2 linked regions of the Lytechinus pictus genome follow. The protein of the gene in region 2 interacts with the protein of the main gene of each other region in a pairwise test. Links are inferred from orthologs where the notes say so. Each region holds a gene or a part of one and is shown on either strand. Other genes may lie near its edges.

Evidence for each region. The genes of interacting proteins can lie anywhere in the genome.
Region 1: the proteins of peroxisomal bifunctional enzyme-like (region 2) and catalase-like interact in a two-hybrid assay, tested with the Homo sapiens proteins (2 studies listed by BioGRID, with this or other methods). The link is inferred for Lytechinus pictus from reciprocal best matches to the Homo sapiens genes EHHADH and CAT.

The regions. Positions count from the first base shown.
Region 1 is NC_087263.1:3,450,417-3,458,208, reverse strand, and holds the start of catalase-like, read left to right. Parts: upstream 1-4,788; 5' UTR 4,789-5,200; coding exon 5,201-5,569; intron 5,570-6,665; coding exon 6,666-6,746; intron 6,747-7,792. UniProt on the Homo sapiens protein: Catalyzes the degradation of hydrogen peroxide (H(2)O(2)) generated by peroxisomal oxidases to water and oxygen, thereby protecting cells from the toxic effects of hydrogen peroxide.
Region 2 is NC_087257.1:19,522,761-19,530,534, forward strand, and holds the start of peroxisomal bifunctional enzyme-like, read left to right. Parts: upstream 1-4,762; 5' UTR 4,763-5,058; coding exon 5,059-5,210; intron 5,211-5,707; coding exon 5,708-5,744; intron 5,745-7,511; coding exon 7,512-7,623; intron 7,624-7,774. UniProt on the Homo sapiens protein: Peroxisomal trifunctional enzyme possessing 2-enoyl-CoA hydratase, 3-hydroxyacyl-CoA dehydrogenase, and delta 3, delta 2-enoyl-CoA isomerase activities. Catalyzes two of the four reactions of the long chain fatty acids peroxisomal beta-oxidation pathway.

The DNA.
Region 1 (7,792 bases), on a different chromosome or scaffold from region 2:
ATTATGGTATTAGACAATTGGAGAGATTAGACTGCCTGGTACTTAATGATTCAAAATGACTATTAAACCTTGAACTTGCATTTATTTTTATGAATGAAGATCGTGTACACTGTACAATTTGCACATCATGTACGTGACATTCAATTTGTACATAGGCTGAAGTGACCTTGTTCCATATCGATTGTCTAGGGGCAATGATATAGGTCTATTTGATTTTGATAAAACTTTGACCTGAAGGTCCGTGATGAATAGCACGGTGCCACAATAGACGAAATGTTTGTTCAATTCATGCACAGATTCACAAAAATGCCTGTCATTCATTTTAAGTTTTATGCTGTGACGTACACATTATGTCAGGAATTATTTGCAATTTATACCGTGTAGAATAATATTCTTATTCCCCAATAAGAATAATAATGGTGATGATATGAACATTTGTAATGTGCCATTATCCATCTTGAGTGTATTGGTATTGGGCAGGAAAGAAAGGAAAAAGAAACATGCGAAGGGGTGAAAATTATATTTACTAAAAAGCATGTCTGTAAAGACAGATTTTAAATGAGATTTTGAAGGTGCTTAGAGAGGGATTTAGATAACTTGTGGAGATTTATTTTTTAGGAATTGTCCAGCTAAAGCTATGGTTACACCGGAACCGAATCAGCTGCGAATCCATTCAAATACATGTATTCGGGTGGTTTTGGGAGTATTCTGTTCACCCTCCAAGAATGCGAGAAAATTCAGGAATATTATTTCGAAACCATGATCAGAATTCGGCTAGAAGCGGTCTGAATTTATTCGATGAATTTATTCGAGAGAATTTGGTTTTGTTGTAACCCTGGCTTTATTGAAATGATTGAGATTGTTTTGCAGCAAGTAATAAAGAATTTCACAATCCACTGATAATACTTTTTCACCTTTTCTACAACACAAGTTAAGAGTAAAAAAACAATAATTTGACCTAACCTACTCTTGTGTGGGTTTGACAGCGATATAAACAATTTTGTACAAAATCCAGATCTAGCGTAAATTTATTGTTCCTCTATCCTCCTTTTTTATGATTGCAGCCTTCACAGATAGGCTTATCAATTGTCAAGTTCAAAAGAAGTAATTCAGGTCACTTTACAGGTTCAGGTAGCTATTAAAAGATTGATTCATTGTAGGTCAAGTTAAAGATTATTCTCATGATCAATAGGTTGTTTTTACATTGACAAAGTCATGTGAGCTGTTTTGTTTTTATTTTTCAAGGCCTCTGTCCATTTTCTTTTGGATTTTTTTTTAGCTGATTGTAGGGAATAATTTTGCCTACCAGAATTTTTATTAGTGTTTTGGTAATAAGAGAAAAGCTCTCCCAATTAAGATCTGTATGTACAGTTCTATATAAGAAACTGCTTTTTTTTGTGTAGCTCAGTATTAAAAATCAGGAGCAAATTGCAAGGCAATGCTAGGAAAATATACCTCCTCGATCACTTTGTTACCAATTTTACAGCACTATGTTTGATGCAGAGTTGGTAAACTGGCTTCAAAACAAATTTGGATCAGTCGTCAATAAAGTTAATATTATATTTTTCTGCTACCCTCTCAGCATATATACTCTTGAATTATTTATATTGACATGTGCTACAGTATCTTTGTTTTGTTATGATGGAAAGAATGAAAAATTCAATTTCTGAACCAATCTACTGCATATTCTGAACCAATATACTGCATTTCTGAACCAATCAACTATTTGCACTTTGATATGGATTTCATGAAAAGCGCTATATAAGACTAGGTTATTATTATATTGTATTGATAACAAGTACTAAAGTAATGAAACATGATTGATGTTTAGATCACTTTTAATAAGGGAAATGACTTGTAAAAATTATATTCATTATCTACAGCTTGTAGTTTCCTTTCCTGTATCTCACGTAACAGTTCTAAATAAAAGTTTCATTTTGCACAGAGCGGAGAAAGAATTCAAGCAAAGCCCATGTTATTACTATAAATTGATTTGAAAACCTGTCAATAGATAAGAATCAATTTGATGGGATAAAGTACATGTATAGACTTTAATAATATGAAGTATAAACTTAAATGAAGATTAAGAATTGAAATGCAAGACAAAATTGATTATTTCCGATTCTTATTATTCCCAGTTCAATACTGCGAGACGACTTTTATTGAACTCATTTATGCAAGATGGCTAGGATGGCTATTTAAAAAAATATGTGTACATCATGTCGTCCAACAATTGAATAAAATATGAACCTTTTTATATTTTATGAATGAGCAAAAAAAATTCAGGTATTAAATTATTTTTTTTAAATTGCAAAATTCCCAGATCAATACTGCAAGACAACTTGATTGAAAATATCCATTCTCGCAGTCCAAAGACTGAATTGCAATGGTTACAATGTATGTACAAGATAAAATAAATAATACAATTAAACATTTGATTACAATTAAACATTTGATTCGAGAAATAAATAGTAAATGAAATAGTTACATGCATGCACAATTGAAAGTAGTACTTTTTGGAACAATTATTAATGAGAAATAAAAGTGTATTCACTGGGAATAACAATGCAATCTAGGAAGTATGATATTACTAGAAAGTTATTAAAATTGAATATTATTATACAAGAATGCTTGTATTTTGAAATTGGATGTTTGTAGATTGATATTGCACAGGTTTGAAATAAAATTGAATGATCTGGGTTAATATATGGTAAAAATAAAATCAAACTTAAGTCATGCAATCTTTACAACTTTTACTGAACTCATTTATGCAAGATGGCTAGGATTGCTACTTTAAAAAAAGTGTACATCATGTCATCCTAAATAAAAACCTGGGCCACGTTACATCAGAGTTTAGACTTACATGTATATACATGTGATGTCATAATCTCATAGCGCCCTCCCTCAAGAGGATATAGGATAACACACAAACAGAGTTGTTAGAAATGCGCCAGCTAACAATCACCAACACACGCAAGGTAATAAATTGCTTTATCCTTTAATAAAGTGGTTTTGATGAAGTCAATGCATGAAGTCTAGTACATGCTAACCAAAATTCTTGATTTTGATCAAGGAGATATCATATCTCCTTGTTTTGATCAAGTGTTTTGAATTGTTACATATATAGGTAATAACATGCACCATTGCATGGCTTTATTGTGATAATAGGAATTCTTATGCAACAAGGCCTGGAACAATAGACAAATTCCAAGTTGCCATCTTTCTTTGAACCCAATATTATGAAAACAGCCTGAAAAAAAAGTAGTCTGAAATATAACAAAGGACGAGGTATAATACTATAGGGAGATATTTCAATCCAGTCCCAGTGCCAAAGAGTCAAGCCACCCTTTCACACAGTAATTTTTTTTTGTAATTTGAATGATGATTCCAGTGAAAAATAAGGCTAATGACAAATTTTAGCATGTGTGAAACCAAACCAGAACATGATTAGAATCACGCCAATCATAATCACGAATTCAAATTCTACTCCGGAGGTGAATTCCAGTTAAGTTTTACTCGAATCACAGTTTTCGAGTGAGCGTTCGAAAGGTCCGATGATTCTAAAGACAAATTGCAATCATCATTACAATGATGATTCAAGATTCACGTGTGAAAAGGCCCAAGGTTTATTTTGTAACAGAGCAAAGTCCAACCGTGACTTTGTGTAAATATTTCCTTTAGGAAGTTTTGTAATGAGAATTAAAAAGGGAATGGTAGGACAGTTGATATACTAAATTTCAAGTTTTTTTTTTTTTAGATATGAATTACATGTAGGTTTTACATTTTACATTTACACGAATCCATGTAAGACTACAACAATCTCCAGGCCTACATGTACATGTATATGGTTGTGTTTGTATTAGGGTCATTTCATGTTCTGATCTGCTCGCTGGATTTTTTTTTCAATTTTCATTTTGAATTCTTTTTTTTCTGATATCTGTTTCTCTACTGTTTCTGCAAAATTCATGTTTTGAAATAATTTTTCCTATATGTATTTCATTTTACATTTCAGAAGCCCTTTTCACTTGTTTCTGTGAAATATTATACACATTAAAGCAATGTGAAATGATATCTTGGGATGTGTTTGTTCTATTCAAGCTGTGTATGTAATGTACCTTTAAATCCCAGGCAAAGACTGAATGTTTACATGATACATTACATCATGTGATTGTGGTAGCATTGTCATCTTTTCTCTTTCAACTCAAATATTGACTCATGTGATATACATGTGTAAAGTGCAGCTTGTGTAATACACTTACGTGTTCTCATCCCCCACTTGTATTGCCATTTTGAATACATAACAATGATTTTGCAACATACATTTTATTTGCTTTTCGTTATGTATGATGGGGGGCCCTAAAGCTACGCACTTTGTTTTCAAACACTATCCCAATTTTAATATTTCAACAAATTATCTTTCACTAATTTGTGGCAAACATTCTAAAGATCGTTAACAAAGAAGAAAATATCGCAAAACTCACTAATGCAAAAATACCGCCGTGTTTTCCAAACACCTCTTGATTTCGCCGCCCAATGTAGAAGGGGTTCTAAAGCTACGCACTCGATTTATCATGCAAAAAAATAGTATTTCCTGTGCCTCAATTTCTAAAATATATTAAAATTATTATAGGATAAAATGAAATTAAAGCGAATATAACTCCAAAATTCCAAACAGTTGTTGGTTTTCTCTGCATTTAGAGATTTACTGCAGCCTCTGTAGAAAAAATTGAATAGGAATCGTTCGTCACTGCAGTCACAGTTCCACACACAGAGTGCGCATTTGCCATAAAAACTGTATGCGTGATGAGTGGTGCGTAGCTTTAGGACCCCCTACCATACATGTAAATGGCAGGAGGGGGGGTCAATGTAATTTCTTTATTTCATATACAATGATGTACATGTACATGTACTTTACTTTTATTCACAATCGCTTGAATGAAGTTACTTAACAGATCTATATTTAAATGGAATGATGGATAAATGGATAATGAAATGAAAGCATTGAGTGAATGAACAGATGGATGTGAACAGATGGATGTATTGATGGATGAATGAAGAAAGGAAGGAATGGATGGCTGGATATTATGATAGATGAAATAATGGCCTTAATGCTAAGTGAACAGATGGAATAATGATTGGGCAAATGAATGAATGTAAAGAAGAACAAATGAAAAAAAAAGAACCTTTTTATATTTTATGAATGAGCAATTTTTTAAAAATTATTAAATTATTTTTAAAAGATGACAAAATAAAATCCTTTCAAATTGATATCTTTCAGGATCCCGATATGTTCTGGGACTTCATCACCCTTCGACCGGAATCCACTCACCAAGTCTCCTTCCTCTTCTCTGACCGTGGCACGCCGGACGGATACCGTCACATGAACGGCTACGGAAGCCACACCTTCAAACTCCGCAACAAACAAGGCGAGCACGTCTTCTGCAAGTTCCACTTCAAGTGCGATCAAGGTATCAAGAATCTGAACCGCCATCGTGCTGGAGAGCTCTCGGCAGGCGACCCCGACTACGCCATCCGTGATTTGTACAATGCCATTGCCACCAACAACTTTGTAAGTTTCTACTTTGGTTTGGAATTTAGAAAAACTACAATGATAATAACATTTGTGGGCCATTTTAATAATAATAATGATTGCTGGATTCATGTAGCGCTTTTTTGCCGGAGGATACAAAATGCTTGCTATAATTACCCCGGCTTTAGCTCAAGCTACCATCACCAGCGCTCATTGCATGCAAGGAATTAATCCTGCTGTGTACCCATTCCCTCACACAGTGTGGATAAATTTCTTGAAGGAAAACATGCCATGGCTGGGGTTCGAACCCACGACCCTCTGTTTGAAAGACAAGAGTTAGAACCACTAGACCAAGACACACCCACAATTTTTTATACTAATGGTCAAAAGTGTGGGCTGACTAACTATTGCAGATAATGAATTGATTAACAAAAAAGATACTAATAATGTAAAGAGGTGAATTTTAAGTAATTATTTGAATATCTTAAAAGTAAATTTAAATTTCAATATTCTTCTTATGATCATTTAGAAATAATAAAGTAGCAAAATGTTCAATGCAGAGATAAGCTCAGTTACCATTGTACTTCCACTGTCATGTTATCAAGCCAAGATTTATTTTGGTCCCATGTACTTGTTTCTGTGTGTAGTTCAACTAAGCATGAGCTTATCCAAATTTTTTGTTTTTAAATATTGGGAAAAGCACCATATTATAAGTAATAAGTATTATTTTTATTGCAGGGGCGGATCCAGGATTTTCCAAAAGGGGGGGGGGGGCAAATTTTTCTGAGGAAAAGTTTGACAAGCCCAAAAAAAGAAAAGTTTTAAACCAAAAAGTAATGATATTTCGTCCCCGAAAAAAATTATAATGCCACTTTTACATTACAAATTACAATTTTGCTTCACAAGAGGGGGGGGGGGGGGGGCATGAGCCAGCTCGTGCCCCCCCCCCCCCCTGGATCTGCCACTATTATGTTATTACTAGTAGTAAATATTAAAATATCTCTTTGCTAAACTTTGACTTTATACAGTAGACATCCTATTTAGTGTTTTGAGAGACAAGGCAAATTTCGAATTATGTCATTTTGTATAAGTTTAGTATTTATCGCTGTTCTCTCTGATCCATTTTCCCTTCCAGCCATCCTGGTCCCTTCACATCCAAGTCATGACCCAAGAACAAGCAGACAAGCACCGAGATAATCCATTCGACCTTACAAAGGTAATCATCTTATTATTAAAATGCATATATTTAGTCTGGAGGTACTTGATCTACATTAACTACCAGGGGCCAGTTTCATAGTAGCACTTACAACTGTGGTTGTAACTTTACCATTGTGGCAACTACTATGGTAAGAGGGCTCAGTAGCCAATCATGGTCAAAGTGTCCATGGTAGTTGTCATACTACCCTAGTTACTATTATTGTCTTTATTTTGAAATGGACCCCAGATGGCCTATTTTGGTCCATGTTTCATTTCATGTTACTGGCTCTTAGTGTAATTGTCCAGAGGATTTATCATTTGAACCAATTATAACCTGACAGAATTGAGTTAAACCCTTTTGATCCATGATTCATTTTATGTAACAGGTACTTGGTCTTATTGTGACATTGGTCTAACTTTAGGAAATGACCTGGACCTTCATGAAGGTCAGATACAATGTATTTTCATCATTGTTGTTACAATATTTACTTTTGTTATGAAAAGGTATGGTCCTTGAACAAAATCTTTCTGACTCACATCGACAAGATGACCTTAAAGGAGAATGAAACCCTTGAAACCAGCTGAATCCATATCAAAGAGAAAAATCAAAGAAACATATTGTTGAAAGTTTGAGGAAGATTGAATGAATAATAAGAAAGTTATGAGCATTTGAATATTGAGATCACTAATGCCATGTAGATCCTCCCATTGGCAATGCGACCAAGATCTGTGATGTCACACACGTACAACTCCCTCATTACTTAAGTACTTATTTCACTTATATTCTCACTTTTATAGAGTCTATCACAAGGTGAGGTGTTCTCTTTATGAGAGGACAAGTATAGAGGTTTCACAACATTATATCATTGATGAATCGTTTGTCATATGATTAGAATGAGCAAAAAGAGATGTTTTGGGGTATATTTTCAGTGTCCAAAAGGGGAGAGTTGTTCATCTGTGACATCATAGATCTTGGTCGCATTGCCAATGGGAGGATCTCCATAGCATTAGTGATCTCGACATTCAAATGCTCATAACTCTTCTATTGATAGTCCTATTTTACTC
Region 2 (7,774 bases):
TTTCAGGTCACATGTCAAAGGTGAAAGGTCATTTAGGGTCAATGAACTTAGATTATGTTGGGGAAATGAAAACGAAATATTAACCAAGGTTAAGTTTTTTTAAATGCCATAACTCTGAAAGTATATGGATCTAGTTCATGAAACTTGGACATAAGGATAAGCATGAGTGAACATCCTGCATGAGTTTCAGGTCACATGACCAAGGTCAATGAACTTTTATTTAGCCGTGTTGGGGATGTTTGTTGAATTGCCATCATAACTTTAAAAGTTTAAGGATCTAGTTCATGAAATGTGGACATAAGGGTAATCAAGGATTACTGATCATCTTGCTTAAGTCTTAGGTCACATGATCGATGTCATTTAGGGTAAATGAACATACTATTTTATCATCATATGAGTGATGTTTTGAATTATATAATAATTATTCTACAGTGGGTATCAAAAAAAAGTTTACACTTTGAAAAGGCCCTGGAAATTAAAAAATATACATTATATGGGTATTTTTTCACATATAATCTTGGGTTTGGGTCTCATCTATCCAATGGAAGTAAAAGTTTTGACAGAATGTTACACTTGAGTGAGCACTGTCCATTTTTGTAAAGCTCGCAGAAATCTATTTGCGCAGAAATAATCGTTTTCACGCAGTGTCAAGGGGGAAGGGCGAAATCAAATTTACCCTGCGAAACATTTTTCATACATTTCCTTTGCACTTTTAGTCAATTGAAATAAAACGGATACATTCAAGCATTTTGTAACAATTTTGCCACCCGAATTGAAATTTCAACACTTATTAAGCACAACATTTACCCTTTTCGTGCCAGCTGGATCTGAGGACATAACTGAATCTGAACAAAATTTATATCAGACTTCTCCAGCATTTTTTTCACTAAATCTTTATCATTTAAAGTGGGTTTACATTTCATTTTTCATTTAATACTTGTTTCTCCACACTTTTCCAAGCTTGACAATGATTAACAGATGAATGTAAATCAAGCCTAAGCCATTTCATGTAAATCACAGCTCAGTGTAAAGCAAATATCGTCACGATGGCCTCGGTGTGTGAGGGAGTGGGGTGGGGCGCAATGCACTCTTTGAAGTGTTTTGGGCAAGGAAACAAGTTAAAAAAGGTAAAAGAGTATTCAAATCAATTTTACTAGCTAAATTCCACGTGTTCTTCATGATTAAGGTCTACTTTTATTCGCATAAATATTTCAAAATTCTGCGCAAATCATTTTTCACTCACTTTTCATAAGTAAGTGGTACTCACTCAAGCGGAAATATTTTTCGACAGTTATATCGTCATTTGCTTAAATTGATCTGTACCAATGTTCAAATGTTGAAAAATCTTCAGGATATTACAAATGTATAATTTTACAGGATTTTTTTCTAATTGTAAACTTTTTTTTGATACGCACTGTATAGTGATATTGAAAGTCAGCACTGCTGCTATATTGAATTGCGTAATGCAGGTGAGACTGCCAGAGGCGCTCCACGTGTTTTTTATCACCCGAAGATAACATTATTTGTGACCAATAAAGGAGTATGGTGAAAAGGACAAAAAGGAAACTCAAAGAGAGAAAGCATGTATCAATAAATGAGGTGAATGTAAGACAAGAGAGAGAGAGAGAGGGAGACGGAGACGGAAGTGACAGAAAGAAACCGGAATGCTAGAGGGAGAAGAGAGAACATGGAGAAAGAAAGGGGATTGAAGAAGGTGGAATTGTCATGTCTAAACCTTAGAGATCAGAGCAAAGTATTGAATGCATAATAATAAGAATAATAACACCAACAACAACAATTATGATAATAATACCTTATTCAGGGATGTTTTATAAGGCAGTGAAATAACTTTAGCAAAAATATTTTTTTTAATTCAGTGTGCTTAGAATCAGTGGCGTAACAGGCGGGGGGGGGGGGCAGGGGGGCAAGCTGCCCCCCCCCCCCCCTGTCGGAGCTCACCGGGAAAAAAAAAAACGGGAAAAGGAAAAAAAAGGGGAAGAAAAGGAAAGGAAAGAAAAAAGGGGAAAGGGAAAGGAAAAGGGAAAAGAAAACTAAGAAAAAACATAAAAAAGGGAAAACGGAAAGATAATGGGAAAAGGAAGGAAAAAAGAACAAGTGAGAAAGAACAATTCGCCCCGATATACAAATACATTAGCATGATTAGTAAGACAGGGAAATAAATTAAAGATGACAAAAAGGCAAACAAAAGCGGGAAATAAAGGCAGAATGGAATTAGCCAAAATCTAAATTGGAAAATAAAGAATAGGGACAAGATAACGTACACTACCGGGCTGCCGAGGATTGAGATAACGAGCGGGAAGGAAAAAATGGTGGTATATAGCATAATGTCGTATGAAAGTCTATCATAAACTTGCTAAATCTCCAAAGGCTCTGTCCAAGAGTGAAGACCCCGTGCAGTAGGGGCTCTTCATCTGTAACCTTTAATGGGTTCTATAACGGGCCCCTATATGGACCCTTCCTGCATTAAGCTTTACGTTGAAGCACTGGCGTACCGGGGGTGGTTCCACAGCCAAGGGGAAATAAAAGAAAATAAAGGAGGCAGCGAAATGAGATGAATGAGAAAAAATATATGACATGATATTTGCTATAATGATGTAAAAATCTATCACATAATTAGAATTTCATTTTAACAGGCCTTTTTTTTTCTGGCTCGCTTCGCTCGCTGGCGACTTTTTACAAATTTTCCCACATTTGCTATGGTGTGCCCCTCACAATATTTGGATGATTACGATACACAACTGCATTGAATTTATGTGTTGTGTTAAAGCTATATAAATATGCTCGCAATTTGATTAAAATAAGTGGCCATCTGTAAGGTTTAATATGGCTTTGATATCAAGAAGTTCCGGGGCTCTGCCCTGGACTCCACCCATAAAGCACTGTTATATGGATGAGTTTGGACCATGGCCCCCAAAAGTTCAACAACCAAACAAAAAAATGAGGAAAGAAAGGAAAGTGTATTATATTTGTATGAATATCACGTTAAAATATATCTTCATGTTAGATTTTCATGAAAAGGTGATTTTTTTTTATCTCGCTCGCTTCGCTCGCTCGGGACCTATATTAAGCTTCTTCTTGCCAGAAGCGCCATACTCGGCCCCCTCGAGCATATAGAGCTTCGCCCTGATGCTCACAATCATAACAAAAATCCTGTTCACCGTGGCGTACAAAAAAGAGAAAAAAAAGGAAAGAGAGGAGGGTGAATATGATATCATCTTTTTAACATTATGTCAAAATCTATCACAAAATTGGATTTTTGCAATAAAAATGTCAAAAAAAATTTGCTCGATCGCTTCGCTCGCTTATATATATATTTGCCCGATACGCCATATCGCCCCCTCAAAATGTTTGCCTTAGGACGCCATTGTCTGTTCCATGATATGACCGGGAAATTTTTGGCTCTTGCCCCCCTGGCCACCGACCCCTGTTACGCCGCTGCTTAGAATATAGTCTGTGCATGAGCTATACCACCCCTTCATCCAATTCTCGTTTCGAGAATCATTCATGTTGATTTGATCATGAGGTTTGCATTTTTAACATAAGTAAATATGGACTTTGAATTACCATTTGTCATGTTTGTGGAAGTTTGATCCTAGTCATAACTAATGTTTTTCAAACGGCAAACATGACAAACGGGAAACATACTTCTCGACATAGCTGCAGGAATATGACGAAATAAATATTGAGTAGCCAGTACTTTTTAGCACGATAGTGTACTTTCAGTTATCAATTTCTGAACCTGTCTCCCATAAGACAGAGATGAGGGAGAGACCCGGGGAGAGACTGCATTTGAATCGCTCAAAATAGATCAATGGATCATTTTGAGAAAAATGGATTGAACCATGGACTTAGGACCATGATTGAATTAAGAGGTGGTTATGGTCATTGATATCACTAATTGATGCTGTAGAGATCCTCAAATTGGCATTGAGACCAAGATTTATGATGCCACGTATCTGCAGATATTAGAAAGATCCCCTTTCATTTCGAACATGTATTATTTCACCTTATAATATTCTCTTTTCCAAAGTCCATTGGTATATATATAATAAGTGTAATCTGGACATGGGAGGATACAGGTTTCACAAAATGGAGCAAAGAGATATTTTATTTATGTATTTTTTTGCCTATCACTCGTGTCAAAATTAAGGGTATACATATATGTTGGTGAGTGACATGTCCCATCTTCGTTACATGGCCAGTGTCAGTATTCTCTACATTTTAATGCTTTCGTCTTTCTCATTGTTTGTCCAATGAAACATTAATTGATCCCGGCAGTCAAAAAAATGAAAGCATATGTTCAAATGTGTATGTCCACAAGTAGGTTAGCCGTAGGTTAGTTGTCCGGTATATATTCTGCGGCAATGAAATGTCGGGCAACACAACCGTCAGCGTCAATGCCTGAGCACGAGAAGGGAAATCCCCTGACACGCCCATTGCCTGCCTGTGGGACACGCCCCTCGAGCCATGGACGGATCCCTGGGAATTTCATGTTCGTGTTTGTTTACCAATTGTCACATTGTAGATGTAGTCGTATACAATGCGCCTCGTGAAATACACAATATACACGTACAGCAGTCTCATAATGTTTCTTGATGAAAAAATGAAAAGTTGATTCACAAAATTAGATGAAATCAAATGATATAATATTGGTGTACTTTATGAGAAATTGGAATGTTCAGGACTAAATTTATATCCTGTTTTCTGAAGTCTATTTTGGCGTTCTACTTTGAATTAGACTAGGTTTTGTGCATGTGCAAAGTTCATTCAGGAGCGAAGTGTCAATACGAATTTCGGGCTCAGGAAAATTGGACTTTGCCAATTCACAATCCAATATATACGGTGTCTAATGACCAGTGGATTGTTACAGTCGATTTACATCAGCGGCTGATCTCTGGATTAATGATCGCCAATCGTAATTTTATGATATTTGCATTGAAAACTAGTACCAGCATATATCCGATCTAGAGACTAGACGGTACTGTGTCGGCTATTTTCACCCTCCACTACCCGGTGCATTGACGCCTGCCTCGCGATATGTTACGTGCTAAGAATTTGGTTCAACTCGTCATCAAGTCAAATCTGTGTACAACAGGCAGTGTACGTACAGCAGAAGCAATGGCGACTCTCTCGAAGCGTGGACAAGTTGCTGTTGTCACATTGAAAAACCCACCACTCAATGTTCTCAGGTATTAACTTCTACTCTGACTAGTTATACTGCGGCAGCCCGAACACAACATTCAACAAAGTGTCATCCGGGTTATATAGTGTAACAACTCCTAACTAGCAATCATCATATTCAGGAATTTCAAATGTTTAAGATTTGATGGTATGAATTTACAAACTCATGCTAAAGTTTATCAAGTGCACCCCCCCCCCCCCCGCGGGCATACACATGAATTAGGGAATCGTTCTGTTTTTCAATATGTGACTAAAAAAGATGCCATGGTCATATACGATGGATATAGGTCTACATCTAGTAATGTCTGTTGATGTAATTTAATCTAGATTATGTTCAAATTGATTTTGTTCAAGGTGCAGTAGTAGTCCCTCAAGATTTTTGAACAAAATTACATTTTTTCCAAAAAGTTTCTTCTGGTAAATTAGATGAGTGTAACTGAAGATTTTGTTCATTGGAGAATAATAAAATGTTCCGTTTCTATCCCAATCTCGTGTTGTCTTGCAGCTATCCAACCAGAGCTTCAATTGTTCAATCAATAAAGGTGAGATCTAGTCTTCCCCTCGAGAAGGCCCAACATTTTTTTTTTATTCATACACATACCCCGTTTAAAGGCATACATGTATCAAATAAAGTATTGAGTGGAATATGCTAATTGTATGGACCATCCAAGAATTGCAAGTGTAAAATGCCTAAAAAATGTATTGTAGGCCTAATTACATAACAAAAGCCCCAAATGTTAGGTGTATGAAAGCATAATTAATTACTCATTTATTTCAATCAAATTTCGGTAAAATTTACCTACAAATAAAGAAATTCAAAGATCAAGGAGAACCAAGTGGAGTAAACTATGATCTGTTGAAATTCTCAGCAGGTAAATCAAATCGGTCTTGTAGAATTCTTGTCTCTTGTGATTTGTTGAATATCATGACTCCATATATGTTCACAGTAGGCCCTACATAGAGGAAGAATAATTTTTTTTTTTTGAAGACCAACACAAATATGGTGTTTTATACAGAAAGAAAATCTTAGAGCTCTGGCTATTTATCACATGGGCTATTCCACGGTTACTCACGTTACATTTGGAGACACCTTGACTCATACTTGGAGCTGTAACTCCATTATTATTGATAGGAACTAAACATCTCTTTATCACAACATAGTACGCAGTCTGACTATCCTTTGTATAAAAACAAAACTTGGGAAATTTCATTATGCTCCTGGCAAATCTTTGAAATGTGTTGGTTACTCATGTTACATGATTTGGACATGCATAAAATGAAGAGTGGACATAAGTGAAAAGTGTCCTCATGCAAGGCTTTTATGAAAGTTGATTATATCCATTTCAAAGAAGTATATTAGGGAGACAAATTTGTATATAATTAAAAAAATAAAGAACACATGGTTTTTACTAGGGGTGCAGATAAAGTGGTTACTCATGTTACGGTTCAGATTAGCTATATGTACAAAGACACATTGAGCTCATGTCCACCAACCTATGGAATTGCCCACATGCTTTTGAGCTGGCTGAATGGGTGGGCTAATGTATTATCCCACACTTACATGTAGATTTTAGGTTGAGTAGGCCTATTATCTTTTAAAGTTTCAGATACAATTAAGGCTACAGTATGGTTCCAGCGCTAACTACTTGTAGGTTAGAGACACTTTGAAAGTCTATTTGATTTTGAAATCTTTTCAAATACTCTTACAGGAATAATGTGTGTTTATTGTATTGCTTGTCAAGTGCCCTACTTTAAAAACTGTGCAAACAAGTGCACCAAGAATCAATACAAATTATGTATGTGAAAGGGTATCCATACAATACTGTATTGACTTTCATATTCAAGCTAATTTTGTGTAGACTCTGTGTAGTGTAGCAAAGGTCTGGGTGGACGGAATTGTAAATGCTAGCAAACCTTTATACACCAAGAAGCCACAGGTTGGTTGTCTTTTAACAGAGTTAGAATCTAGCTTAGCATCTCTAATAACCATTAAATTTGACCAATGATTTTATTTTTTTTCCTATGAAATATGCCTATAATAGATAGAATTATCGCACCTGTATCTAATCAATGTTAATGCAGAATGAATTGCAATCAAACACAATTTCTACCCCAAAAAAATCAATTACAACATGATTTTCAACCATTCAGAAGCACATGTAGAACTTGCATGTTATTTTACGGTTGGATTGAATGCATCCTTTTGAGCAACAGGGCCCATGGCTAATAAAATCTATGCGGTTTACTGAGTTAACATCCATTAAACTAACTTTATTTTTCTCCTTCCAATCCCCCTGTACTACATGTAGGAAGCAGAGCAAGATGCATCAGTGAAGAGCATCGTCCTGTGTGGTTCGGGCAGATCATTCTCTGCTGGCGCTGATATCACTGAGTTTGCCAATCCAGATCTGGTGTTCAAAGGTAAATGATAAAGATATGAAGATTAAACGTTACTTCTGCCTGTTTACAATGAATTGTGGAGTATATTTCTCAGATTGGTAGGGAAGAGTTTCTTTTGTAAGCCCAATAGTTCATTTTGGCCATGCTGTAAGTTTTGGGGTTTGCTAAGATT